Linked DNA regions of Diceros bicornis minor. The protein of the gene in region 3 purifies or fractionates together with the protein of the main gene of each other region. This does not show direct contact. Links are inferred from orthologs where the notes say so. Each region holds a gene or a part of one and is shown on either strand. Other genes may lie near its edges. The genes, in order: PATJ, LIN7C, PALS1 and YAP1.

Evidence for each region.
Region 1: the proteins of PALS1 (region 3) and PATJ purify together in Homo sapiens (co-immunoprecipitation; 5 studies listed by BioGRID and IntAct, counting the BioPlex papers as one, with this or other methods). This does not show direct contact. The link is inferred for Diceros bicornis minor from reciprocal best matches to the Homo sapiens genes PALS1 and PATJ.
Region 2: the proteins of PALS1 (region 3) and LIN7C purify together in Homo sapiens (affinity purification with mass spectrometry; 3 studies listed by BioGRID and IntAct, counting the BioPlex papers as one, with this or other methods). This does not show direct contact. The link is inferred for Diceros bicornis minor from reciprocal best matches to the Homo sapiens genes PALS1 and LIN7C.
Region 4: the proteins of PALS1 (region 3) and YAP1 purify together in Homo sapiens (affinity purification with mass spectrometry; 6 studies listed by BioGRID and IntAct, counting the BioPlex papers as one, with this or other methods). This does not show direct contact. The link is inferred for Diceros bicornis minor from reciprocal best matches to the Homo sapiens genes PALS1 and YAP1.

Annotation. Positions count from the first base shown.
Region 1 is NC_080743.1:1,463,635-1,471,318, reverse strand, and holds the start of PATJ (inaD-like protein), read right to left. Parts: upstream 3,022-7,684; 5' UTR 2,975-3,021; intron 1-2,974.
Region 2 is NC_080746.1:83,526,429-83,533,285, forward strand, and holds the start of LIN7C (protein lin-7 homolog C), read right to left. Parts: upstream 3,018-6,857; 5' UTR 2,942-3,017; coding exon 2,623-2,941; intron 343-2,622; exon of another isoform or gene 151-342; coding exon of another isoform or gene 144-150; intron 1-143. UniProt on the Homo sapiens protein: Plays a role in establishing and maintaining the asymmetric distribution of channels and receptors at the plasma membrane of polarized cells.
Region 3 is NC_080763.1:15,944,293-15,952,287, reverse strand, and holds the start of PALS1 (protein PALS1), read right to left. Parts: upstream 3,004-7,995; 5' UTR 2,881-3,003; intron 1-2,880. UniProt on the Homo sapiens protein: Plays a role in tight junction biogenesis and in the establishment of cell polarity in epithelial cells.
Region 4 is NC_080746.1:32,841,624-32,848,652, forward strand, and holds the start of YAP1 (transcriptional coactivator YAP1), read right to left. Parts: upstream 3,013-7,029; 5' UTR 2,581-3,012; coding exon 2,260-2,580; intron 1-2,259. UniProt on the Homo sapiens protein: Transcriptional regulator with dual roles as a coactivator and corepressor. Critical downstream regulatory target in the Hippo signaling pathway, crucial for organ size control and tumor suppression by restricting proliferation and promoting apoptosis.

The DNA.
Region 1 (7,684 bases), on a different chromosome or scaffold from region 3:
AAATATAATGTGAGCCACACATACAAAATTTTAATTTTTCTAGTAGCCACATGAAAAGGGTAAAAAAAACCAGGCAGGGGCCGGCCCCGTGGCTTAGCGGTTAAGTGCGCGCGCTCCGCTGCTGGCGGCCCGGGGTTCGGATCCCGGGCGCGCACCAACACACCGCTTCTCCGGCCATGCTGAGGCCACGTCCCACATACAGCAACTAGAAGGATGTGCAACTGTGACATACAACTATCTACTGGGGCTTTGGGGGGAAAATAAACAAATAAATAAAATCTTTAAAAAAAAACAGGCAAAATTAATTTTAATAATATATTTTACTTAACCCAATGTATATAAATTATCATTTCAATCTATAAGTAATATAAAAAATTAATGAGGTATTTTAGACTTTTTTACAGTAAATCCTCAAAATCTGATGTGTATCTTACATTTACAGCACATCTCAGTTCCACCTAGCCCCATTTCAAATGCCCAGTAGTCACATGTGCAAGCAGCTAACCATGTTGACAGTGCAGTTTTGTTTTCTTTCTTTTTTTTTTTTTTTGAGGAGGATTAGCCCTGAGCTAACATCCAGTGCCAATCCTCCTGTTTTTGCAGGGGAAGATTGGCCCTGGGCTAACACTAGTGCCCATCTTCCTCTACTTTATATGGGACACCGCCACAGCATGGCTTAACAAGCGGTGCGTCAGTGCGCACCCTGGATCCGAACCTGCGAACTCCGGGCCACCGAGGCAGAGCGCGAGCACTTAACCACTATGCCACCAGGCCGGCTGCAACAGTGCAGTTTTAACTATGACTTTTCAGAAAGATCCCTGCACAGCGTTTTAACAAAGGCTTTGTTCATCAGCTAATAGGTCTCTCTGCCTTTTATCAAAGTAACTGAGTGAGAACACTCACAAACTTGAGTTCTACTCAATAAAAATAGCACAACTCCATAATTTTATCAGAATTAAACATCACAGTGGAGGAGCAAAAAGTGGGAGAATGATGGCTTAGAGTTTACAAGACACATTCTTGAACATACTTCATTTCAACCTCCCCGAAACTCAGTGAGGTAGATTGTTTACAAATGGGAAAACAGAGGTCCAGAGTCAAGTCACTTGCCAAGACGGACTTACATGGCCAGTGGGCCCAACTCCACATCTCCAAACTCCACAGACTGCACAGCTGTGCAAACACAAACACTAAGTGGGCTCGACATCTTCAGCAGGGCCCTATGCCGATGACTAAAGGAAGGGCACTGACAGGCTCTAAACACCTCTCTATTTGCTCCAGACCCTACGATAAGGGCTTTTATAAAGCCCTCCAAATCTACACAACATCTGAGTATGAAAAAAGCACAGCAATGGTCAATTAATCTCAAATATTAAGGTGGACTAGTCCTGTGTCTCAAAAGATTGACTCTACTCTCAAGATGAGCAAAGTCTTAAGTAAACAAACAAACCCCCATTTTGGCTTCCCCAACCTAAAGTTTTTTGTTAAATATTTAACAAAGAAAGTAAATCCACACTGCTTGGTTGTGTAGCTTAAGGATAATTATTATATGCTTTTAAGTAAAAATGCAATTACAAGGATTACTAACGCTGAACCACCATCTCAGAATCACAAGGTTCTGAAGGTGAACTCACAAGGGACAACATACAGATATTTCTTAAGAACACTGACGGCAAGACAATATACGCCAATTTTATTTGTGGTTATTTTCAAGAGTAGGTGGGTTTGTGTGTGCTTTTAGTTCCTTTTCTGAAAATTCTCTCCAATTTTTCTACAATGAATGTATGTTACCTTTATAGTCATAAAAATAATAATAAATACAAGGCTTGAACTTATTAAGGCATCTCTAAACAGACGACAGCTAGGCCGACCCTGTGGCTTAGCGGTTGGGTGCGTGCGCTCCGCTGCTGGCGGCCCGGGGGTTCAGATCCCGGGCATGCACCAACACACCGCTTCTCCGGCCATGCTGAGGCGGCGTCCCACATACAACAACTAGAAGGATGTGCAGCTATGACCTACAACTATCTACTGGGGCTTTGGGGGAAAAATAAATAAAAAAAAATAAACAAACAGATGAGGGCTTACTACAATTTCTTTCCAACTTTAAACAAAACTATTTTGATGCCAAGATCTGTTAGCAAGGCCAAATCTCTTCAGAACTCAGTTTACAAATTCTGTCCACAAAGTTCCTTCCAGCTCTGACATTTATTAACTTTCAAATTATGTTAAATTTTTCATAGTCCTTATAAACGCCGTTAGGGGCCTAGAAACATCAAGCTCATTTTAGTTAGAAGTCATGACCTCACCTAACTTGTTCTGATGCTGCAGAATGACCCCATCCGAGCTGTACCCCACCCCGCCTAGCTCTCCTTCAAGCAAGGCGTGCGCGAAGGGACTGGCGTTAGCGGAGCCCAGACAGCCCGGGAGGTGGTGTTTCCTCCGGTGTGCCCAGGTTTCTTTTTCTGCTGGGCTCGGGAAGGCTCCTCCCTCCGTGGGGAGGCCCTGGACTGTTCGCACCCACCGGGGCCCCCTGAGTGCAGTCGGGGGCGCCCGCTCCCTCGGGCACCCGGGTCAGCGGCTGCGCCGGGCCCAGGACAGGGGCAGCGGAGGCCGGGCGGGGGGCCAGCCGAGACCGAGCGGCGAGCCGGCCTGGAGGGCAGGCGCCGAGGGGCTGGAAACGCCTCCCGACGCAGTGCCCCCGGCCGGAGAAGAGCCTGCGCTGGGCCGTGCCCGGGAGCGGGGCCCGGGCCTGAGCGCCGCGACCCCCGAGGCCGCCGTGACCATCGTGACCGCCGGGCCCGAGGCCGGCCAGCGTCCCCGCTCCGTCCGGCTCCGGGCGGCCAGGCCCCGACCTGTGCAGACGCGCGGGCGCGGACAGAAGTGGGCCGAGCGGGCCGAGCTGGGCACCGAGGTGCGCCCGGCGCCCGCGTCCCCCGAGCCCCCTCCCTCCCCCGGGCGCCCGGCCCCGCTTTACCTGGTCCGGCGGGCGGCGGCGGCGGCGGCGGCCCCAGTCACCTGGGCGGAAGTGCCGGGCCGCCGCCTCACCTGAGGCCCTCCCCCGCCGCGTCCCTCCCTGCCCCTCCCCTCTCCCCTCCCATCCCGTCCCCTCCCCCTGTCCTCCGCTGTCCTCCTCCTCCCTGTCCCCTCCCTCCCCTCCCCGCGCTCCGTCCCTCCCCCCCTCCGCCTTCCCCTCCCCCTCCTTGTCCCCTCCCTCCTCTCCCCTCCCCTTCACCCCTCCCTCCCTCCGCCGTCCCTCCCCGTCCCCTCCCTCCCCTCCGTCGTCCCCTCCCCCGCCCCGTCCCCTCCCCCGCCCCTCCCCCTTGACCTCTCCCTCCCCTCCCCCTTCACCCCTCCCTCCCTTCCGCCGACCCCTCTCCCTCCCCGTCCCCTCCCCCCTCCCCTCCGTCGTCCCCTCCCCTCCCCTGGGCTGGGCGGGCTCTTGGTCCTAGGCCCGCGCAGGTGGCGGCGGGCTGCGGGCTGGGAGATGCGGCAGGTAGAGCGCCAGGCGGAGGGGGGCCGGCTGCCCAGGTGTGAGGGTCGCCGGGAGAGCGAGCGCCAGGCCTGGAGAGGGAAGGGGGGCGCGTGGTCCCGTACCCCCTCGGTTCCTGTACCCGCGGACCCACCTGAAGATCTACGAAGTGTCACAGGGGTGTTGTTGCCTTCCCATTTCGCCGAGCAGGTGAAGATGGTCCAGCTGCAGTGACCTCGCTCTGCCCGGCCAGTTGGTGCACGGCCTCGTCCACTGGGAAGAAGCCGCGCACCTGGTAGGTTAAAGGATTTGCCCAGAGTTTGCGACCCACACGGATCTTCTGACCCTAGGTCCAGTATTGACTTCACTCTGCATTTTAACATTTTTACTCTTGATATCCTAACTTGACTTGGAGAAAGATCTGTGTAAAACCTACAATGGCATTGTTCCACTCTCTTTAATGTAACGAGAATTTTGATGACAGGCGGTTTACTTTGTCTAATACAGTGCACACATTAATGATAAAGAGAATCAATCTTCAAGTATGTACTCACTGAATAAATGCAGTGTGTGTTAAGCACTGTGATTGACTAAAATGTTAAAAATGGGAAGACGAGGCATGTATACAAAACAACTACAACATGAGGACATCAGCTGTAAGATCATACACTTGGCACTTTGTAGTGTTATTGTTGGTTCCCTTGTTTTAAACGAAACATCACTTGTTAGGCTGGTAAAAAGATACACAATTTCAGCACAGTCCTGCTTCTCAGGAACTAACAAACTATTGAGGGAAATAAACTTATAAAATAACTTAAATTACTAAATAGAATAAAGCTAAACTTTCAGAAAATAGAGATCTGTTATGCTTGTTGACAGCATCTATTAGGACTTAAAGAGGTCTTAACAGGTGTGTGGGATTTGCTTAACATAAAATGGGGAACGAAATGCTTCCCAGGTCAGGGGGCAGCACATAGGTGGAGACCAATGATCTCAAAGCATCACCTTCAAACACTGGGTCTCTTCTTACTTTGACATTTCATGATGGTTATGAACAGATTCCCCCTTCCTCAAAAAATAGTGTGATTTTGAACTGACCATGAAACAAAGTTCAAACTCCTTTCCTTAGTATTCAAGGCCCTCTAAACTCACCCCTTCTTGCTGACTCTTCAACCTCATCTGCCACTTCACCTCTCCAGGATCTGACTTTGGCCACACAGGTCTGCTCCATGTCCTAGGAATCACCACACCATGCTGTCCCCTTTTCAGTGCCTGGGATGTCCTGGAAGGCCTGCCCTGCCTCCTGGGCTAGACTCAAGTCTCCCTTCTTGAGAGAAGGTGCCCCCCTGACCACCCCAGCAGACACCTCTCTCCACCACATTTCATCTGATTTTCTCCACATCATTGTGTTGTTAATTTTATGTGAGCTTTCCTTTGGCTCTTACCTAGAATTTAAAATTTTTTTTGTCATTCAAAACATTTTTTTAAGATAAAGCTTACTCTGAGAATGTTTACCTCTAAGAAACCTCAAGAGTGCCTTATTCATAGAATGATGAAGATGAACAAAATTTTTAAGAACACATCTCTGAAGTCAGAAGATCTGAGCTTGAATCCTGAATCCACCGTTTCCTGAAATACGTGACTTTGGCAAGTGACTTAACCCTTGTAATTCTCAGTAGTGAAACTGGGAACAGTGCTCACTTCACAGGGTAGTTTTGAAGGTTAAATGCAGGAATATGTGTACTGCACATACCTGGCACAGAGAAAGTCCTCAATAAATGAAGCAGCACATAGAGGGAAGGAGCGTGACAGATACTGGTGACAACAAGGGGACAGTCAAGAGAAGCAGTAAATAAGGTGAGGCCAGGGCAGATGGTAGAGGCCTGAGAATACACAGAGATGACTAGGTTCTGAGCCTTTATCCTTCACATCTGAGAAATTAAAGAACCACTGAAAATGTATGAATAGGATTTTCATTTTGGGTTTTTTAAACATGTAATGATTAGCGTTTATTTATTTTTAAAAATACTTTATTTTTGTAGAGTAGTTTCAGGGTCACAGCAAAATTGAGAGGAAGGTACAGAGATTTCCCTTACACCCCTTGCCCCCACATGCATAGCCTCCCCCTTTATCAACATCCCCACCAGAGTGGGACATCTGTTACAGTCGACGAACCTAGAGGACACATCGTTATTGCCCAGAGTCCATAGTTTACGTTAGGATTCACTCTTGCTGTTGTACATTCTGTGGGTTTGGACAAATATTTAATGACATGTATCCACCATTATAGTATCATACAGAGTAGTTTTACTGCCCTAAAAATCCTCTGTGCTCCAACTATTCATCCCTGGCAACCACTGATCTTTTTACTGTCTCCAGTTTTGCCTTTTCCAGAATGTCATACCACTGGAATCATACAGTATGTAGCCTTTTCAGATTGGCTTCTTTCACTTAGTAATATGCACTTGAGATTCCTCCATGTCTTCTCATGGCTTGAGAGCTCATTTCTTTTAGCACTGAATAATATTCCATTGTCTGGACGTACCACAGTTTATGTATCCTTTTACCTACTGAAGGACATCTTGGTTGCTTCCAAGTTTTGGCAATTAGGAGTAAAGCTGCTATAAACATTCATGTGCAGGTTTGTGTGTGGACATAGTTTTCAACTCCTTTGGGTAAATACCAAGGAGCTTAAATAGGATTTTGAGTAAGATTTTGAATATGATATAGATTGGGTGTTTTTTTTTAACGAAAGATTAATGTGGAAGCAGTGTGAAAAATGGATTGACAAAGTTGGGGAGAGGGCCTAGAATCAAAAAGTGGAAGGAAGCAGCCGCTATGGCAAGGTACAGAGGAAATGATGAATACCTGCAATAGCGTGAAGATACAGGATAAAAAAACGAACACTTAAAAATATCAGTTGCTTCCTGATTGGAAAAAGGGATTCAAGAACAAGGAGAAAACAGAAGGGCAAAGATGAGTCTCGGTTTTGAACCTGATAAAAGGACTATGGTGGTGAAACTGAGAAAAGCCAATTTATTCTGTTTTGTTTTTCTGAGAAGCAGGACTGTGATAGTTTTAGATCCTACATTTGACAATCAGGATGAAATCTACTTGGCACAGAGTGGGCCTCATGAAGTGATGGGTCAAACAGTTTAATTGGACTTTGGCAGTTAGGCTGGTGCACCAAGGAGAGGACACATCCGAAATGCTTGCGAGTCAACAGCATGGATGTAGTAGAATTCCCTATGTGCAGAAGACCAACAAACATCTGCCAGAGCCCTGATATTGCGAATTTATCACCAGAGAAAAAATTGCTCATCGCAGTCAAATAAAAAAGAAATTTTTGGAGGGTAACAATCTTTTATCTCTTAATGTTTCTGCCCTAACCAAACAAGAGTCAGGTTGGTTTCCCCAGAAAGCTTTGCTGTAGGCAAAACCATCTGTTAATGTAATTAGGCGTATGCGGGAATTTTAGGAACGGAAAGATCCAACGTGCAGAGCCATCGAATCCCAGAGGAAGCTCTGCTTTAGGCTCCACTGGTAATCCTCACCCCTAATGTTTCTACACAGTAGTTTCCTTATTGGGTTGTGCTACCCCTGTCCTTTGCTTTCTATAGAATTTCTATAGAATTTTTATGTGACAAAGAAATCTGGCATTGAAAACACATCTAGGATTGAGATTTAAGAACTCTTACTAAATTAAACAATGTAGTGATCATGTGATCAGAGATTATGCTTGCAAAGAAATAAAGTAATATATTTTACTGAACCATGAGAAAATAGATTAAGGGGCCATCAGAAGAGAAAGTAAATTTTTAATATGCCGTCAGTGTAAGAGTCAAAAATCTTGTGTTGTTTCTTTTTTTTTTTTATTCATTTTATTTTTTTCCCCCCAAAGCCCCAGTAGATAGTTGTATGTCATAGCCACACATCCTTCTAGTTGCTGTATGTGGGACGCGGCCTCAGCATGGCTGGACAAGCGGTGTGTCGGTGCACGCCCGGAATCCGAACCCGGGCCGCCGGCAGCAGAGCGCGCTCACTTAACCGCTAAGCCACTGGGCCGGCCCTTGTGTTGTTTCTTTACTTTTATGAGGAGACTCTCTTGTTCTTTTCAGTTTATACATTGTAAGACAGAATGAAGATAATCACTAGAACCATAAAAACAGATTTTGCAATGGGAGTAATTAGCAAAGCATAAGCATTTTCAAAGAG
Region 2 (6,857 bases), on a different chromosome or scaffold from region 3:
TGGGAGACACAGGAAAATTGAATATAAAATATGAAATGTCACAGGAAAGGACTGGGGCTCAAATGTGATAGACACATGAACATTGTATTGCTTCAGAAAAGCTGAAAGTATTATCTGGAACTATTTAGTCAATAAAAATTTACCTGTCATTATTAGTAATCAAAACACTGAACAGTACAAAACACTGTGTGCCAGTGAAGTCACTGTTCATGTCCCAAAGGAAAACACGATATTCATGCAGACCCGAACTGTTCAATAACAGGTGCAGTTAGTGGCAGGGACACATTTAAAACAATGGTACAGGGGCCAGCCCGGTGGCGCAAGCAGTTTAAGTGCATGTGCTCCGCTGCGGCAGCCTGGGGTTCGCCAGTTCGGATCCCGGGAGCGCACCGATGCACGGCTTGGTGGGCCATGCTGTGGTGGCGTCCCACATAAAGTGGAGGAAGATGGGCACAGATGTTAGCCCACGGTTGGTCTTCCTCAGCAAAAAAACAGGAGGATTGGCAGATGTTAGCACAGGGCTGATCGCCTCACAGAAATAAATAAATAAATAAAATAAAACAATCGTACAAATGAATAAAATCAACTGGTCTGTTTTCAACTTAGGATAATTAACACAATGTTTTAATTAAGCCAAGCTCAATCAAATACATACGTGTTTACAAAATAGAAAAATAAAAATAATTAGTTTTGTCATCTGATCTCAATACTAGCGGTGTGATCTTGGGCAAGTTACTGAACCTCCCTATGTCTCAGATTCTCCACTGTAAAATGGAAATAACAGTACCCTCCTTAGAAGAATTACCTGACAACTAAACCAAAAAATACACGGAAAAGGGTCTGGCATGTAGCAAGCAGAAATGTTATGTTACATTGGCACCAATTAATCATAAGAAATAGTAAGCGGTTGTACACATTTATACAGATATATTAAGCACGTTAGGCAATTCGCATTGGGAAGTGTGAGCATAAGTGTTTAACGAATTAAGACATTTTATAAGATTCAGGGTCATGCTACAACACTGTTAATGACTGTCTCTATTTTGATGTTTTTCTTACCTATTTTTGTACCCCAAGGGGCTAGAATATCTATTATTCTACCATTCCTTGCCTCCTTTTAAGTGGAAGAAGTTCTATTATACCAAAGGACTGGAACTTTTTCTTTATAGAATTAATATGGCCTTCTTTGTGTTTGCAGCTGAAAAACTAGGAATAAACGTAGTGAAGAAAGAAGTAGATTTTTCAATTTCAGGTAATAAAAGCTTAAACTGATGTGAATCAAATGCAATGCAAACACACTTTCCCCCATTCTGATACTCTACCACTAGAATGGCTGGTGGATGGGGACTGTTGGTTCATCAGCTATTTTGACTTACAAAGTTACAATATGTAAGCTACATGAAAATTTCCAATTACCAAAAAAATTGAAAAAAGTAAAATACTCTCTACTGAACCCAAGCTGTACCTAATTTGTGCTCAAATGTGTTCCACTGAATCATATGATAATTTAGAAGACATTCAGGATCTTAATCATATGCACTCATTTTATACTGTAGGATTATTGGCAGTGTTAATAAAGTTTAAACAGAATTCTAAATAAGAAACAGAGTTGATGTAATCTGACTTTCTTATCCTGCTAGATGGCAACCGCTAATAATTCATCCTACTAAGATGCTGAGCATTCTACTGTGGAACTGAAGAGAACTCTGAAACAGCAAAAACAAAGCCATGACTACCAAAACTAAATGCCAGAAGTTAAGTTTCACATTTTGTTCTGCACTTAAAAATACAAAAGACTGCCAACATGCTAAAATCCTAAAACTGGCTTTCAAAGAAAAACACCTACTCCTGTTAACACCAAACAGATTTGTTCCCATCGACAAAGCACAGTGCCATTGTGCTCAGGAGGAAGATGTCACCGTCTCAGGCCTAACTTAGTAAATCTTCCCAAAGTTGCTACTTCTCTGTCAAAAATGATGCTTTAATTAATGATCTGGCGGGCTGGGGGGTAACGATGTCGTTTATAAACGGTGAACACCATAAGGAATCAACAATGTTAACTGCACATTGGCTTGTGTGAAGGCATGAGGAAAGAGGTTTCTCTAAATACAACAATTCTAAAAATGCATTCCCTTCTCGGAGCAGAAGTTACTTAATATTCAGAGCATAACTGCAAATGTTAGTATTTCCAAGATATTTTCAATCTCCATCCTATACTTTGTTTACTACTGTACTCAAGATATTTAGTTTGTACTTCTTGACTCTTACCAACGACTTCTAATACTGGTATGCCAAAAGGATGCTTGAAATTGCATGAAATAAAGGATCTGCGGAGGAAAGAGTGGAATGTGGAAAATCTGTAAGAGAACCCTGGTAGGGGCATGGCCATGTATTCTCACTGGCTTTTGGGTCTCTAATTACTCAGCAAAACAAGTTTTATTTTCCTTGACAGTTTCCTCTAAAAAGCAAGCAACCAGCCACAGTGAGCAGTTGTAGGGTTTGTAGAGAAGAAATAAGACTGCACTTGCAAACATTTTACAATCTACCACTATTCCGGCTAGTTATGTAACCTTCTTCCCAAGAGCAAATCAGCAGGACTGTTTTAAAGCACCTTCTCCGTACCTGGGAGGGGCACCAAGGCCAGGAAATACCCCAAAACAAACAGGAGTGAGGTGTGGTCAAGGCAATGACGGGTTTGTGCGTGCACAGGAGCGGTGCTGTGGGGACGCGCTGTGCGTCCAGGACGCGTGGGTGCAGGCGCGGCCGCCGGGCGCGTGCATGAAGGTGGGCAGCCGTGCAGTCCGGCCGGCCGGGCGTGGGAGGGGTGCCTCCGGGCGACGCGGCTCTCAGCCCGGGGCCCATGTGCGGCGCTTGCGGAGGCGGACAGGTGATGACCCGCGCTGCGCCCCGGGACGGTCCGTGCCAACTGCGGTCTGGGCATCACTCGGGAGACCGCAAGCGCCCTCCCTGGGGCCGGGCGCCGCGACGTCGGCGGTCCCCGGGAACAGCGCGAGGGGCAGCCTGGCTCGGGCTCGGAGCCTTGGCCGCCCCTCTCCCCCCGGCGACACGGCCCGCCTCCACCCCCTCCGTCCGCCCCGGCCCCGGCCCCGGCCGCACTCACCCCGCTCCAGCCGCACTGGCTCCCCCAGCGCCGCCATCTTCTTGCTGTGCCCGCAGACCCACAGGAAATGACGACAGAGGGGCGCGGCGGAGGGGCGGGGCCTACGGGAGCCGGGGGGCGGGGCCGGGCGGTATCGCGAGAAAGGGAGCGGGGCCTGGGGGCTTGGGGGACCTCGCAAGGTGGAGGCGTGGCCGGCTCGCCAGGTGGGCTCCGTGCTGTCCCTCCCGGGGTTCCAAGGTTCTGAGTTCCTCGGCCTCCTGAGGTTGAACAGGGCCGCCTTCACGACCTTTGCTCCCTGCCTCGGGATTTAACGTCGTCCCACCCGCTTGGAGCCCTTGGCTCCACGGGGAAGAGTCTGGAGTCTTGTCCCAGCTTGACCTCTACCGGCTCTGTGAGCCCGGACTGCGCGCTTACGCTCTTTCGGCCTCAGTTTCCCCATCTGTGCCATGAAGGCCCCATCTCCGAGGTCTTTTCCATCCTTCAACTGTGGGATTCTGTGACAATCAGGCGTGTCATTGAGATATTGTAAATTCTCCTTTTGTGGCAGCGTTGCTTTAATTTTAAAAATCAGGACAGGAGCCTTCCCTCTAAATCTATTTGCGAGTGAGATTGGAAAGTACGGGAAGCGTGAAGCGCGCCTGGGTGAGTGAGCCAGAGAACAAGGCTCTTTGGTGCACCACGAAGTAACAGTTTAAAAAAGCTGATCCAAAATCTTATGTAAGTGAAATGTCATGAAGCCGTGATATTCTTAATGCGTTACAGAGTCTTAGGGCCACTTTTGAAAACTTCATGAACCAAGAAAAATTTTGTCCTCAGTTTAAATGGAATATTCATTTGCCCGGTGTTTAGATTCCACTAACATTTATTCAAGCCCTGGTCTGTGTTGATAATATCTTAGGTGTTTTCATATACAAGTGTTCAAGACTTCATGATAGGATTGTTTAAACAACCTCCAGGTTGCCCCTGGCCCACCCTTTCCACCCAACTATAATGCTTTCTTCTAATCCATCATGAATGTCACCACTATACCCGCTTTCCCCCTTGAGCCCTGATTTCATCATCAAAGGATTCTGTTCGCAAACTTTCAGTGGTTTCTCACCCTGTTTCCTCTTTCTGAAGCTTTGCGTACTTGACCCTAACATCTATCTAACCTCGTTTCTCGTTATCCCTCGAATGCAACCACCACTCAGGTTGAGGTGGCATATCCAAAACCATGTTTATTCTTGATTTTAAGTCTTCATTTATGTTGCTCTTATGTGGAATGCCCTTCATCTCCTCCACTTCTCCAAACTGTATACATCCTCAGACTGAACCCATCCTCCCGGTCCCTGCTGAAGACACTCCACTTCCACTAAGCTTCCCTTCTCCATCCTCCTCCCCTTCTTTGGTACATGATGGCCCTTATACCTGCAGTAGCACTCATGTGCTCATGTCTTATTCATTGTTGTCATTTGTTCCGCCACAAAGGTGTTCAAGAAGTGTTTGTTAAATGTCTCATGTCTGCCAGGTGCCTTCCTAGGCACTGAGGGTACCATGTGGAGAGAGACAAATGCAGACTTCGCCCTTATTTCTTCCAATATTTTTTCTCCCCCATCCTCGGGCTCCTCTCCTTTGATGACTCCACTTACAGGTGTATTCTGCTGCCTGGCATTATCTCACGGCTCACTGATGCTCAGTTCATTTTGTTTTTTCAAGCTTTTCTCTGCTTCCTTTCTTCAATATCTAATATTCCCTTAATCCCATTTGGTTCACTTTTCATTTTAGACATTGTAGTTTTTATCTCTAGCAGTTTGATTCAGGAGTGTGTGTGTTTTTCTGCATCTTTCATGTTCTTACTTAACATACTCAGTCTTTCCTCTAGCTTCTTGAACATATAGAATACAATTATAATGGCAATTTTAATGGTCTTATCTACTAATTCTAGCATCTGTGCTATTTCTGGTACTGTTTCTATTCATTGATTTTTCTCTTCATTATGGCTCATAATTTCCTGCTTCTTACTTGACTGGTAATTTATATGTATGGTTCTACTCTGCCTGGCAGGAACAGGAACTATTCTCATGAACGGAGATTGTTGATTGTTTACTTTGCTCCTTTTGAATGATCCTTTCCCTATCCTTGGTAATTTCTTTTTTTTTTTTTAATAATTTTATTTATTTATTTATTTTTTCCCCTAAAGCCCCAGTAGGTAGTTGTATGTCATAGTTGCACATCCTTCTAGTTGCTGTATGTGGGACGTGGCCTCAGCGTAGCCGGAGAAGCGGTACCTCTGTGCGCGCCCGGGATCCAGACCAGGCCGCCAGCAGCAGAGCATGCGCACTTAACCGCTAAGCCACAGGGCCGGCCCTATCCTTGGTAATTTCTTAACACATAGAATCATCATGAAATTTCAGAATTCCGTGAATAAGTAGAAGATCCTAAAATTTTCAGAGAAATTGAAAAGAATAAAAAGCTACATTCTAAGGACTGGGAATCAGAACAGTTATAGACCATTAATTATTTGAAGCATAGGTAAGGAAGAAAAAAGTTTTAGGAGCTACTTCTGAGTGAAGAAAATATGATTTAATTAACAACAACCCATTTGTACTCAACGTACAAAATAAAAGAATCAGCTACTGTATAAGGAGAGATTCCCTAAAATGTCCCTCCCTGATTCGTAAATCCTTGAGCGTTAGAATTGGGAGAGACCTAGAGAGTCCCACTCCTTCACTTCACAGAGTGATCGCTGTCCTGGGTCTCAGAGGAGGCCGCTGTGAGCACAACGTGACAGAGCTGCTTTAGCTTTTATGCCCCTGCCGGGTTGTTAAGCCACCAGGCTTCCCAATCAAGAACTACTCTTCCTCTGGAAGAGCTCCTCTTCACCTGTTGCTTCCTCATTTAACTTCCTGCCTCGGAGGGAAAGAGGAACACTCAAGTGAGAATAGGAAGTCTGAGTCTAGACAAATCCCAGTGAAAGCTAAATTAAGCAAATTTAGTCTTTATAGGAAAAATTAAAGTCCTAACTAGGCAGCCAGGGCATGAAAGCTTGCTTTCTTTCTTTCTTTCTTTTTTTTTTTTTGCTGAGGAAGACTGGCCCTGAGCTAACATCTGTTGCCAACCCTCCTCTTTTTTTGCCAAGGAAGATTAGCCCTGAGCTAACATCTGTGCCATTCTTCCTCTATTTTGTATGTGGGTTGCCACCACAGCATGGCTGACAAGTAGTGTAGGTCTGTGCCTGGGTTCTGAACCTGTGAACTGGGCCGTCAAAGGGGAGCTCATGGAACTTTAACCACTATGCCATGGGGCTGGCCCCTTTGTTCTTTTGTTTTTTGCTGAGGAAGATTAGCCCTGAGCTAAGATCTGTGGCAGTGTTCCTCTATTTTTTTTTTTAAAGATTTTGTTTATTTATTTATTTTCCCCCCAAAGCCCCAGTAGGTAGTTGTATGTCATAGCTGCACATCCTTCTAGTTGCTGTATGTGGGACGCAGCCTCAGCATGGCTGGAGAAGCAGTGTATCGGTGCGCGCCCAGGATCCGAACCCGAGCCACCAGCAGCGGGAGCGCACGCACTTAACCGCTAAGCCACGGGGCCAGCCCAGTGTTCCTCTATTTTGTATGTGGGTTGCTACCACAAGCATAGCCGATGAGTGGTGTAGGTCCACGCCTGGGATCTGAACCTGTGAACCCGGGCCACTGAAGGGGACCGTGCCTAAGTTAACCACTAGGCCTTGGGGCCGGCCCCGAAAGCTTTCTCAACT
Region 3 (7,995 bases):
GGATGGATAAACCAACATCCACACAATGTAATACTACATTCACCAATAAACAGAAAGAACTGCTGGTACACTCAACAAAATGGATGAACACTCAAATGTATTATGCTAAATGAAAGAAACCAGACTCAAAAGGCTAAATACAGTAGGATTCCATCTATATGATATTCTAGAAAACAAAACTATAGGAAAAGACAACAGATCACTAGCTGCCAGGGTTAAGGGTGGGGGAAGGGCTGATGACAAAAGAGCAGCTCAAGGGAATTCTGGGTGCTGGAACTGTTCTGTAACTTGATTTTGGTAGTTGCACAGCCCTATGCATTTGTCAAAACAATTGTACAATGAAAAGAGCTAATTTTATTTCATGATAAAGTTAAAATCTTTTTGAAAGAAAGAAAACAAATATATCATTTCTCACCTTTCCAATTGGCAAAAATTAAAAATATGACAACACCAATCTGACAATTCCAAGTGTGGGCAACGATGACTCATATACTTTTGGCAGGAATGTAAACTGTTACAACTTTAGAAGATAATTTGGCTGCAGCTAGTAAAGTCAAAAATACACATCAACCTATGACCCAGCAATTCCACTTATACCTAGGGAAACCTTCACACCTGTGCTCGAGGAGACATGCACAAGGGTATTTATTAAACACTGTCTGAAATATTGAAAAACTGAAAACAACCCTTCAGTAGGGGAATGAAGTAACTATGGTTAGGGTTATTAAAAAAAAGGAAAGGTGGGGGCCAGCCCCGCAGCCTAGTGGTTAAGTGCGCGCGCTCTGCTGCTGGCAGCCGGGGGTTCGGATCCCTGGCGCGCACAGATACACCGCTTGTCAGGCCATGCTGTGGCGGCGTCCCATTTAAGTAGAGGAAGATGGGCACAGATGTTAGCCCAGGGCCAGTCTTCCTCAGCAAAAAGAGGAAGATTGGCATGGATGTTAGCTCAGAGCTGATATTCCTCACCAAAAACAAAGGAAAGGAAAAAAAAATGCATAAGGGAAAGAAATAACCCTGCTGGCTACATGTATGATTTTGAGAATGGTAACTTACTGGTTTACTTATTTAACAATAGAATATATAGTGAAAAGAGCACTGTACTTGGAATCTGGAGACAAGCATTTTAGCATTTAGGTCCAACTCTGCCACTAACTAGCAGTCAGACTATGGACCACTTAACTCTATAACCTCCCTTTCCTTTTCCTGGAAAATGAGGAGGTTAGGCTATACAACCACTAAGATTATTTCCAACCCAACAATTCTATGATTCAATAAGTTTATAATCAAAAATTATATTCTAAAGCACCTATGTTGAGAAACTATTTTTCCCAGACACCCTGAGATCAAAAACTATCAGAGAAACAGGGCATCTTAGTATATTGATACATAAAATGGATCAAATTTCTTAGTATGTCTGTAATGAACTCTTTAAACAAGATCATAATTCAGAAACAGCATATCAACAGCTCAACCGTATTGACTTGGGTCACTCAGGTAAAACTTACATATCCTCTCTCATTTTAACATTCTAAAACAAGTTAAAATTATTAAAGAGTCCATCTTTACTTGTCAAGTTCAGGTCTGTCTAGACAAAAGTCACTGAAGTACATGGTAAGATTTACTTGATTTTTTTAAACAAAGATAAAATGATGAATTGTTTTTCGTATTTTTGCCTGTTTCACGTATAAAGATCTTACATTATAATTTAATAGGTTCAGTCTGCTACAATTGTTTAAAGAGCCTTTTAGAAGTTGTAATATGCCATGACCACAGAGATCTAGTAAAAAACAAATCAGTAGTTCATAATCCAAAAAAGCTCACTTAATTTCATTACCGTCAATACTGATACTTCAAAGACACCAATGATCAACATGTCATTTGTTCCTATCGCAGAATTTAATAGGTTATTAATTTGTGGTATAATCCAAAAGCATAATCAGGATATCATTAAAACACGATATTACTTTTTTTAAATCAAAAATACTAACGCCTTTCACCTTTTCAGTAAAATTAAACTTTCAAAAATCTTGTTCTACAGGCTTTCCAAATCTAAATTCTTACAATGCTAAACGAGTACGGAAACAAAACACACACTATAGTCTATTTCTAAAAACCTCGTAGCTATCAGATTTTAATTTTAGCGCCAACTGCCAAGAAAAGCCTTTGGACGGAAACCTGAATTCCATACACATTCCTGTGTGTCAATCAACTAAGCAGAAGGTGAGCTATTATTATTAGGAAGTTACATAATTTGCCCCCAAGATTGTTTAAAGCGCCTTTCATTAAATGCAGCTTACAACAATTTAGAGGCTTTAAAATTCACCTTGCGAATTTAGAGTAAATTATCAGAAACCATTACGGAAATCAGGTTTTTCTTTAAAAGTGGTCACAAAGAAGTAGAACTGATTTTTTTGTTTCAAGAACGCAATGAGCAGCTGAATACCGGGAGCTGAGTCAGGCAGAGAAACGATGACTACATTCCCTCTTCTAAAGGAAAGTGTGCGCCCGAAGATTCCCCCACCCGGCCTGGAGGAAGTCCCGGGAGTCGCGAACTCCGGGCGGGGGCGCAGAGGGCAGGCGCCTCCCTACCGCCCCCCTACAACTCGGGCCGGGCGGGCGGGAACCCCGCCAGCCCAAGTGGGTCCCTCGCCAAAGCGGGCACGGCCAAGCAGCGTTCCTCCGTGGGACAAAGGTTGGGCTCACGCCCTCCGCAGCCGGCCGGGGCTCCTGCTGCCGGGGGCAGCGGCGGAGCAGTCCCGGTTCCCCGGGCCGAGCTCCCAGTGTGGGGGAGGGGGTGAGCCCGGCCGCCCCTCCCCCTCGGCTCCCCGGGACCTGTTGATTAGGATCTCCACACCGAGCCACCGCCAGTCCGCCTCCTACCTCCGCGCCACGGCGGCCGCCGATCCTCCGCCCCGGCTGCTCCTAAACACTGCAGGAAGGACAGCTCCCAGCGGCACTTAAAATACCAGATAAAGAATCCAGAAACTCCCGGATTCCCCACCTCACAACCCTTGGTCTCCGCCCCCCCCAACTGCCAGTCGCCGCCGTCGCCGCCGCCGCCGGCGACTCCACCTCCAGACCGCGCGAGACCAGCCCCCGCGGCCGCCGCGAGACCGCGCACGCGCCCCCGGGACTCTGGCGCAGTGGGCGCGCCTATCCCAGTCCCTGCTCAGCGCGCCCCGCCCGCTGCTAGCAGAGAGGCTGGCGCGGTTCGCCCAATGCCGAGCCGGTGCGGAGAGAGGGCCCTGTCATTGGTCCGCTCTGGAGCTCCCGAGAGGCAGGTCGCGCGCCTCTAACTATATAAACCGCGAACTGGTTCGTGTGGAGGCACGTTTCCCGTTGAGCCCTGGGGGCTGTGTTGTGTAGAGACTAAGTTTCCCTGGGACGTGGTGGGGAGCATGCTACCGCTCTACAGCCGTCGACTCTGCTCCCCTTGAATGACCGTCAGGTCCTGAAGAAAATCTGATTCCCCGTGAGGCGACTCCTCATGTCCTGTGAAGCACGCCACACAATCTAACATTTGTTTGCAAGAGAACCATGACATACTTAAACACCTGGATGTGTGTAGTGTCCCACGGAAGAATTCTCTGCTACTGCGGAAGACTCTAAAGCTAGCAGCTAGGACCGAGTTCTGAGCACGAGAAAAGGATGCCAGGGGCCACAGCTGCTTCACAAAACTCCAGTGAATGGATTTAGACTTACCTGGGCAAACCCACATCCAGTGCAGTGAAATCCAGGTTCTCCAGGACTCCCTAGAAACTATTAGCCATATTAAAAAAAAAAAAAAAAAAAAAAAAATGTTAGTGTGTGTGTCACCTATTTCCTAAGTTTTTAAATGCATAAAGTAAATAACAATTCAAGAGGCTTCATCTAGCTCCTCAATGAATTTTCTTTCCTCTAGCTCAGGTTTTCTCAGCCTCAGCGCTATTGACCTTTGGGCCAGATAGTTCTTGGTTGTGGGGCTGTCCTGTGCAGTGTAGGACTTTTAGCAGCATCTCTGGTCTCTAACCACTAGATGCCAGTAGCACCATTACCCCCATTTGTGACCATCGAAAATGTTTCTAGATGTTACCAAAGGTCCCCTGGCAGGCAAAGTCACCTCCAGTTAAGAACCACTGATGTAGCTGTTCAAAGAAATGGGCTCTTCAGGAAGATTGTCTCTCTTTACCTTACCTTCCTTGCTTGGCCCTAAGCGGTTTTACAAAACACCCCCACCCAAATGAACCCTCCAGCTACCAGCATTGCTTCCCCAGCTGCTTGGACTCCTCTGTCACAGGACCCCACCCTAATAAAATGATGATAGCTATCTGTGTGAGATAGCAGCTCCTGATCTCAAAAGATATGGAAGTTCCTTTGTAAAATGCTATACAAATGTTAGTTACTATTTTTACTTCCTGAGGGTATTTTCATTTTAAAAGAGGGTGGACCCTATGGCAAATAAAACATTTATTCTCTGGTGAATAGAGCCATTCCCAGAAGCCCCAAATCACTCAAATAACTGGTCTTGTGTGCGAAAATTGAAGGGTGGCCGAACGAGTGGAAGGTATAGAAAATGGAGGAAAGGCGATTGGATTTGAGTTTTAGCTTTGATGCTAACTAGTTCTGTGATGAGTGACAACTTTCCTGGGCTTTAATTTTCTCATGTGGAATATAATGAGTTAATTACTTTTTTTTTTTTTTTTAGTTTTAAGATTCTAGTAGCCTTTGCATATGGAATCTAACATGAATAGCATAGGGAGTTAAGGAAATATAATATTCATCCCAAAATAGAATGAAATGGGTAATCTGTGGCATAAAACCCCCTGTCAGAAGAGTTGTTCATTCTAGTCACAAGGCAGTTCACCCACTGAGTCACCTGGCAAATTTGTGACTAAGTAATATTTTGGGTGAGTGGTGAAAGCTACACTGTAAAATTGAATGTAAGGTAGAGAGTAACCATAGTAAATATCATCCTTCTTCCTTCCTCATCTTGGCATCTGCTAAACCCATCATCTGCCAACAGCCTCTATCGTGTGTTTATGTAATAAAATGTTGTGCTATTTTATTTTATTAAAGGCTTGGGGGAAATATATTAATATTGCATTTCAGCCATTTGCAACAGGTCTGAAATCTCAGTTTTCAAGATTCTGCCATTCACAATTGTATGTGAAATCCTTAACTAAGGCTATTATATCCCTTTGGTTTGATCGCCTCTATGTGAAAGCCCAGTCTTCACAGCTGAATTAATACCCTGATCACTTAATAATTGTATGAACCAGATGATCAGAGATAATGTAAATTAAAAGAAGAATACCCACTGATTCAGATATGAGAAGTTATGAAACAACAAATTAGTAGGTACATTAATTATTAAATAAATATCTAAAAAAAAATTTTAAATACCAAAAAAACAAAAAGCAAACCATCAAATCATGAACTAATTTTTAAATTTAATTGTGTTTAGTTATTATTTTGATGTTTTAGAGTACTTGTTAACCTTTCATAAATCTAGCTAAAAATATTGTGTCTCTAAGCTAAGAAGGTCAGGCAGTTGTTGCCATGAGGTATAGGAGGTCCCGCCGTCTGAGGTTAGTTAGCGTCAGTGGCATTCAGTACAGGTTCAGTATCATCCAACTCAATTCACTTTAATAAATATTCACTCATTAACTCCAAAAATATATACTGAGTACTTCCTACATGCTAAGCACTGTGCTGTAGGGAATTGAAACAGGTGTCAGCCCCTGTCCTGTAGGAACTTATAGTAAGGTGGGGAAAGGGACGAGTAAGGTCCATTTTACCTATAGGTAAAATACAAGGGAAAGTATGGTAATTGAAAACAAGATGCTCTGTGGACTCAAAGAAAGATAACATCTTATACTAGGAGAAGTTTTACTATCTAATTACAGAGGAGAGGGACAAAGAAAAAGCTACTAGAAAAAGACCCACAATAATAGGAAAACCAAGATCTAATACATGGCTTTAGAAAGATAGACATAAGACGTTTTATTTGGGGCTGGCCCTGTGGCCTAGTGGTTGAGTTCGGCACGCTCTGCTTCAGCAGACCAGGTTCATGGATTCAGATGCTGGGCGCAGACCTACCTCACTCGTCAGCCATGCTGTGGTGGAGACCCACCTACAGAATAGAGGAAGATTGGCACAGATGTTAGCTGAGGGCGGATCTTCCTCAAGCAAAAAGAGGAAGATTGGCGACAGATGTTAGCGCAGGACAGATCTTCCTCAACCAAAAAAAAAAACAAACTTTTTATCAATTTGAATGACTGAGTGAAGTACACAGAGAAAAGCATGGGCTTGTTATGGGAACAGCAAGTGGTCAACAATGACTTCAGGGTAGGATATTCAATATTTAGGATGCTAGTCATTTATCACAGTTTTATTAGTACTCTTCTTGGCTGGTCCTGTGGTAGGCTGGGGATGTGTAGACTAATAAAACATGGTCCAAGAGAAATTCTCTTTTGGAGAGAGGAGGTAGGCAAATTTGGAGCTTGGAAAATTTTCTAATGAAGGAAAGATCAAGACTGAATGCCAAAAGAAAGGAAATCAAGTTCGTTCTCCTTGAAACGGGCTATGAAATTACCCATATTTTTCCTCACCAAGCTCCCAATCAAATCTCTATCCTGTTTGTGACACAAATCTCAGCTGCCACTTTAATTCAGATCCATAGGTGAATCCCTGTGACTGGGTCTCGGATGGTGTCTGTGCTGAACTCCAAAGAGTTGAACTCTGATGCCTCTTCTCTCCTCTCTTGGCCTTGCTCTGAGATTTAACACCACCACTGCTTCAAAACAGCCTTTGTCAAGGTCACCGGTTAGAGCCACTTTGTTAAATGCAAAGGTCGTTGTTCAGTCCTCATCTTCCTTGACCTGCCAGCAGCCTATGATGCCTTTGAGCACTTTCTACATTTGTCTTCCGAGCTCCTGAAACACTGCTATAGCCTCTCTTCCTACCCTTTGGAACTTCCTTCTCAGTCTCCTTTGTTGATTCTTCTTTATCTTCCTGAAGTTGGAATGTCCCAGGGCTCTGAATTCAGTATTTTACTTCCCTCTATCTGGATTTGAATTCCAGATTACCACTTGCTAGCTGTTTGATCAGAAGAAAGTCAATTTCTCCAGAGATTCAGTTTCCTCATTACAAATTGAGGATAATAAAAGTAGCTACCTCCTACAGTGGTTGTGAAGACTAAGTGAATCTCCATATGCCCAGCACTGTATGCATTAACTATCATGTTCTTTATCACTCACTCCCTGCATGATTTCCTCTGGTCTCAGTGACTTTAAATTCCATCTATACGCTGTCAACTCTAAATTTATCTCTAGCCTGAACTTCTGCCCTAAACTCCAGAATCATATATTCAACTGTTGGCTCAGCATCTTCATTTGAATTTCTAATGAGCAGTACAAATTTAACATGTCAGAACTTTTTGTTTTTGTCCAGTTTTCTTCATTTCAGTATATGGTAAATGCCACTATTCCAGTTGTTCAAGCTTTCTTTCACACTGCACATCCAATCCATCAGGAAATCCTTTTATTTCTTTCTTTTTTTTTTTTTAAGGTTTTCTTTGTTTTATAATTTTATTTATTTTTTCCCCAAAGCCCCAGTAGATAGTTGTATGTCATAGCTGCACTTCCTTCTAGTTGCTGTGTGTGGGACGCGGCCTCAGCATGGCTGGAGAAGTAGTGCATCGGTGCGTGCCCGGGATCCGAACCCGGGCTGCCAGCAGGGGAGTGTGTGCACTTAACCACTAAGCCACCGGGCCGGCCCGGAAATCCTTTTATTTCTACCTGCAAAATATATCCAGAATCTAACCGCTTCTCACCAACCCCACTGCTAAAACCCTACTCCAGGACACCATCATCTTTTGCTTGGATTACTGCAATAGGCTCTTTCCCACCCGTATTTTCTCTTCTCAATCCTGTAGCCAGAGTGATCCTGCAGAAATAAATGTGAGGCCAACTCACTGCTCTGCTCAGTAGTCTCTGGCCCAACATGATCTCCCTG
Region 4 (7,029 bases), on a different chromosome or scaffold from region 3:
CAGACTCTAAAGAACTGGGTTCTAGTCCAAGTTGGTTAGCGTGACACTGAACAATATCTTAATCTCTGAGAGCCTCAGTTTTCTCATTTGTAAAATAGCTTCTTTCATGATGGAAAAATGGAAAACACATATATGAATGAATTTATATCCAATAGTTTGTGGACAATAGTATTTACAATCCACATTCATACTATTCATAATCTAGTATAGTTATTTAAATTCCTTGATTAGATTTAGGATTTGATCATCAAAAAGATAGAACTTCATAGATTCACATAGGCAAGAAAGGGACACTGGAAGCAATCAGCGGAGGCATTTACTCCTTATAGCCAAGTCGAGTACATTTCTGAATTTCCCATCAGAGTAAATTTGAATTAGGAAATCATTAGCAGAAACAAAAGGCAAACTTACACATACACAACATTTAGTTAAGAAACTTACTAAAAAGTAACAAAACTATAGATTATGAATAGTACGAATCCATAAACTGCTGGATTCACGTGCAATTATTTACTAGAAGTGTAAGTACACTTTTCAGGTGCAATTCTTTTGGGCTTATACATGCCACAAAATGAGGAATTCAATGTCCTATATGTATTATACTTTCAAAACATATTAAGTAACCAGCTGCATAGCTGTGTAGTCTGTAGGGTGCAATGGTAACACACATTTACCCATAATGAGTCCAGACACCCACTTCCAGGGGGAAGAGAAAAAAGCATACCTAAGTCTACTTCTTACAAACTGAAGTGTTTCGGCAAGCAGCTAAATTGTTTTTCCTTCCTCCTCCTTAACCCAGGTTTTTGTCAGCAAGTCAAGGGAGTTTCTCTGAGTTCCAAAACCCCCTTAGTCTGCGGCAGAACATACAACAGGCCTGCAAACAGGAGGGGGAGTGGGAATGGGAGTGGGGGTGATAACTCTTCTTTCCACTCAAGTTACAGCCCGAGTGGACTAACTACATTGCAGTACTTGGAAAACCAATTAACTTTTGGACAAAGTTCCTAGGCTGAAGTTTAGCCTGAAGCAAGTTTTTTAAAAAAAAGAAAGAAAGGAAAACCTACACTAAACAAATCTACTGGGGCCTGTCGGAATGTTAACACTTTCATAATAGTTTCACTTCATTGCTGGATGAAGTTGACAAAATAAGCGAATGTTGTCTATGTGGAACAGCCATGTTCATATCCTCAATAAGAATTAGAAAAGCAATGGCGAGCCTCAACTTAGTCATCGCTTCCCAAACATTAACTTTTAATCACAGTTGAACTAGGCAGGACTCGGCCTATGAGTCAACCTGCAGTGTATTATCAAAGGCTTGTGTTAAAACCAAGGCATTGTAAAGCGCAACTCAGGACCTGCGCAACGTGCACATGTGGCTAGTTTAAAAGCATTTCAGCAGACTGTAAATAATAGTCCACAACTGGGAAACCAACACGTGAACCTACGAAGTTTGATAAGAGCGAGCCTGCCCCAGTTCCAAGGCGCAAGGGAAGCGCGGGAGTAAAAGCTAACTCCATAAACAACTTCCAGGAAAGTCTGGATCCTGTATTCAGAAAGCGCCGGGGCCGCGAGGAAAATAAATGCTTTCGGGAGGGGGAGGGGGAAGGGGAGGGGGAGAAGGAGCAAGAAACTAAATGGACTGGTTGAACCCCCACCCCTAATCAACACTGGAAAACAAGAGAACAATTATTTGACTCCCCAGGAGACTGAAGTGGACCGAGAGGCCCCGAAGGAAAGGGGGCCCAGGGCTCAACTTCACAAACTCGGCCGCCACTGGCAACTCACCCACACACAAATGCCAGAGGGGGGGCCCCTCCCCCTCCCGGCCCGGCGGCGGCGAAGGTGCGGAGCGCGGCGGCGCGCGCATTGTGCGAGCCCACCGCGGCCCGGGCCCAGCTCTCCCCACCCCCTTCCTTCCTCCCCACCTCCCCCGCCACTCCCGCCAACCTCCCGGGAACCCCAGGAAGAAAGAAAGAAAGGAAGAAGGGGAAAAGCACGCCCCCGGGGCTGCAATCGGCAGACAGAAACTCCGAGGGGAAAAAACAAATCTCGGCCCCAGACTCCGGGAGGAGTGGGGAGCGGGGGACCGCGGCCGAGCGGGCGCCTCCAGTCCCTCGACTTCTCCGCGAGGTCCCCTGCCCCCACCCGGCTCGAGCTCCCGGAGCCCCCCTCCCCCGGCCGGCGCTGCGGCCGCCGCTCCCGAGCGCCCCCGGGCCTGGGGCCCGCCCGACGAGTTAGCGGGGAGAAGGGCGGTGAGGTTACCTGTCGGGAGTGGGATTTGGGCTCCGGCGGCTTGAAGAAGGAGTCAGGCAGCTTCCGGAGCCTCATGGGCACGGTCTGGGGCACGTTGGCTGTCTTGGGGTTCATGACGGCGTTGAAAAGCGCCTCCAGGTCGGTCTCCGAGTCCCCCCGGACGTGCACGATCTGGTGCCCGGCGGGGGGGGCCTGCGGCGCCGCCTGGGACCCCGGGGGTGCCTGCTGCCCGGACCCGGACGGCGGGCCCTGCCCCTGGGGGGGCTGCGTGGGCGCCTGCCCTTGGCCCTGGGGGGCCGACTGAGGCGGCGGCTGCTGCCCGGGATCCATGGTTTCTGCCTCCCTCGACGCGCACCCCGACCAGGCGGGCTGAGGGCTCCGCCCGGGCGCCCCGGCTCGTCGGGCCGAGACGGGAGAAGCGGCGAGGGCGGCTGGGCGGCGGGAGCGGCGCTCTCCTCGCTCTCAGGGCCGGGGGGCTGCGCCGCGGCCCCGCATCCCCCGCCCCGGCGCCTCCGCCCCCGCCCTGCGCCCCGGCTCCACTGGTCTGGCGGCTGCGCCTCGGGAGGGGCTGCGAGAGACCCGGACTTGCGGCGCCTGAGAACTTTTCTGCCTTCACTCCCTTGACGGATGCCGGACAGCTAGTTGCCTTTCCCCTCCCCCTTTCTCTTTTATTTCCTTTTCTTGTTCCTTCCTTCCTCCCTTTCTTTTCCCCGGCGGCGGCTGCGCCCGACTGAGACAGAAACTCGCCTCAGACGCCAAAACTAAAGTTGAGAGAACCGCCCGCCCGCCCGAGCCGCTCGCCGGCTCCGCCTCCTCCCGGCTCTTCCTTCCTCTGCGCGCCCGCCCGCACGGGATCCGCGGCCGGCCGCGGAGGGAAACTTTTCCCTGCAAGTTACAACATTCCTGCAGACTCCGGGCCTCCGACGCTCCTCCCGGCCACACGTGACCCAGTCGCCCTCAGTCCCGGACTGCGCCAGAGCTTCCCGGCGCTGGGGCCGAGAGCGTGCCTGGCCCTCCGCGACGGGAGGGCGGCCGGCCCGACGACGAACGTTGGGTCCAGTCTGGGTCGGAACCCTGGCCTCTGCGGAGAACGCGGCCGCCCTTGGCCGCAGGAAGTCCTACCGCCCAGCCCGGCGCCTTCGCCGCCAGTCCTCGGGAAAGGCGGACAGGCTTCCAGCTCGCCCCGGGATGCGAAGGCCCGAAGGAGTCGGGAGGGGACGTGTAAATCCACTTAAACTGCCCTCCCGTTAGCTGTACTTGACCATCCGGCGTGCCAGTGCGGCCTTAAATCCTCAAGGATAGGTTGAAGTTAAAATAGATACCCCAGACTGGCACTGATTTTAATAAGGGTCCGTTTTTTAACATTAACTTGATTTTTTTAAACTTCTTCATATGCAAAAACCCACTTGAAAGAGATAAACGATTACTGTGATTTGAAGCTTTGAGACTAGATGTGTGATTCAATGTAATTTACTAAAAAAAAAATGCATTTTTTAAAAGTGAAAACTTTTTTTAACACTCAGACTTGCAACATGGTCATGAAAAGCTCAACGCAAAAAATCAGTGCTTCACTTCGGTTACAGCATTCCTATGTGTACCTGCCTTTCATCCTCGAGGGGATGGGAGCCTACCCCTCATCCCTGTGCCTGGCACAAGACTGGACTCTGTGAATGTTGACTGAATAAGAAATGGATGGGCGAGGAGCTCACTTGGTTCTGTATATGGCAGTCTTATATGCAAGGAGTCCATTTGAAATCACTCAAGAGCAATGAAAGTTTGTTTTTTAATTCATACATTCTAATTTTTTTAAAAAAACAGCTTTATAGAGATATAATTCACATACCACACAATTGGTCCATTTAAGCAATTTAGTGTTTTTAGTATATTCACAGAGTTGTACATCACTCTAATTTTAAATCCACTAGCCCCTTCTAAACAAATCTGGCTTGTTTTAATGATTTTGTCTGCAATGCTAGTGAAACAGATGTATAAATAGGATTAAGCAAGAAAATGTCCCCTGAGCAAAAAGATAATCTCTTCCTCCAGCCAGGACTTGCCCAGGAGAATTCTGAGGAAGAATCTGTATCACTTGGTGGGGTAGGGTGGGGCCAGGGGAAGAGGCTTCAGACCCTCAAGATTGTAAGGCAAGATTCTAATCAGCTGCTCTGGACTCCCATTTCCTCTGAAAAAAGGAATCAGTGACGCCCATGACTGCTTCTTGGTTTTATCCCCACTCCCATCCCCAAATGTCAAGTGCATTTAACCACAAATGTGTAGGTTCTGGAGTTATAGAGATTTGATTTCAGATCTCAGTTCCACCATTTACGAGTTGTGAGACATCAGACAAGTTACTTATTTCCTGTTTTTTAATTTCCTTAATATTGGGGTCAGGGGTAATAACACCTACTTCATAGGTTGAGGTGTTAAATGAGACAATGGACATAAAGTAAGTATTTAGCCCAGTTTTTGACATGTGGTGAGTTCTGCATAAATGTCAGCTATCATTGTCCCATGTTCACAGATTACTTCACGTGTAGTAACATGGCCTCTCCTTTGCAGCAACCCCCTTTAGGGGCCCTGTTGGCAGTCTCTTCATCTCACATCCAATAATCTATCCACACAAACAAAGACTTTGGCCAGAAACTATGCATTAAAAACTTCAACTGAAAAAAAACTTAAGAACCAGTGATTGAACACCTAGGATTGTAATGGAAGCTGTCGCTTAACTAGAGCATTTACTACTATGAACACTATAATTAAAGGGCTTAGGGTACAGCAGAGGTTGCTTTGTTCAATATTGTTTCACCTGCCATTAAACTGAGAACAAAATTACTTTGATAAGTGGATTGAAAGGCTGTTTCGAGTTATGTTCTGTAAGCATCGCTGTAGCATCAACCAAGATTTTGGAATTTACTATTCCTCATTTATAAAATTTCAATCATGGGTTGATATGGGATAAAGATAACATGTACGCAATCCTTTGTCTCCTCTCTTCCTCTCCAGCCCCACTTTTAGAGCAATTATCAGTTTAAGGAACCTTGAGATAGGGAGTCGCCTTCTTCATACAAAGACCCACCATTATCCTGGATCATTTTCAATATCTGTATAGATAACTATCTCAAAACACTAGTCTTACAATGACTTGCCCTCTCAACTACAGTGGACCCTCATCTCCACTCCACTTTAGCTGCCTGCTCCTGTATCCACACCCTGTCATCCAGAAATACTCCAGTTGCAAAATCCAACAGTTATACTATTCTCTTCATAGCCATTTCGTTCTCTGGTTTCATTACTCACACCTCTCTCTTTTCTACCAACTTATCACTCCCTCCTGTTTTCACTTCTTTCCCAATTCACTTTAGAAATCATAACTCATTGCTTCAACCTCTCATAATCATCTATGCCCTCAATTCCATTGCCCCATGTATTTTAGTGAATTGGATCTATTAAACTGGATAATCCAGTTATCTGTCTTTTCCATTCCAACACCTAAGGCTTATGGCGGTCCGTGCCCAACATTCATTGAAAGCTTCAATCAAAGCTTTTGACGTTTTGTCCAAGTGAGGTTGTACTATCATCCCAGAGATGTACTGACATGACTACAAGAAGGCATTCACTGTAGAACTTTAAACTTTGTCCTATTACCAAATGACACTATCTGTAATGCATTATGAATTAATATTTTAAGTAAATTCTGTCATTATCTGGTGAATAGCACAAATATATTGCATTGTAATCACTGTGTGTTAAAAGTATTAATTTGCTAAGTGTAAGCATTTGAAATGTACTCTAGTTTTATAACCCTCTCTTGGCATTCCGGTATGACTGAATATACTGGGGACTTGAAAAGAAGAAGTATCCAGCCCTCTCCCAGCCTCTGGAAAGTCTAGTTGACACCCAGGTTCCTGGGGACAGCTGGAGGGAATCTCACAGGCGAGTGGATTGGTGCCCCTCCATATTTATCGTCTTTAACCAGGTTTCCTTGTGTCTGCAATTAGCTTATCATTCTCATGATATGGCTATTCTAAACTGTACCACTCTCCTCATCACATTTATTCATCATCTCCCTACCCTTCAGAAAATTATATCACCTCCATCTGCTCAGAGAAATGGAGGTCACCATGCACAAAATCCCTAAATCTTCCTCTGAACCTGTGGAAACATATATACAACCTCACAAGCCCTACCCTCCACAGCTACATTTTTGGAAAGAGCAGTCCGAATGACTGTTCTTCACTTCCTCACCTTTTGTTCATTTACCCTTTCACTCAACACACCTAAAACCGAACTCTTTACCCCTAACCTCCTGCACTTCCTACCACAGACACACCCTCCAAAGCCACATCCTCCTTCTGATTCATTATCTCAGTTAATGGCATCATGATCCACCCACTTGTTCAAGCCAGAAAACTGAGCGTCCTCTTAATTGCCTCCCTCTCATCATCACTTACATCCAACTGGTTAATAACGTGTGTTGATTTTGTTTCAGCTCTCTTAAGTCTGCTGCCCAGCTCCATGTCCATTTCCACTTCTACTTCACTTCCCATCATTTTTTTGCAGAGCTCCAAAATCATGTCCCTGCTTCTAGTTAATGTGGCTCCATCAGACTTCTATTCTGATGTCAGAGTGATCTTTCCAACATAAAAGTCTGATCGTGTTGTAATGTAATTCAGGACAAATTCACATCTCTTAGGATGATAGATAAGGGCCTTAACCATTCTAGTCTTTGCTTCTCTCCTCAACCAATCTCCTGCGACTCACCTATATATGTTCTGTTTT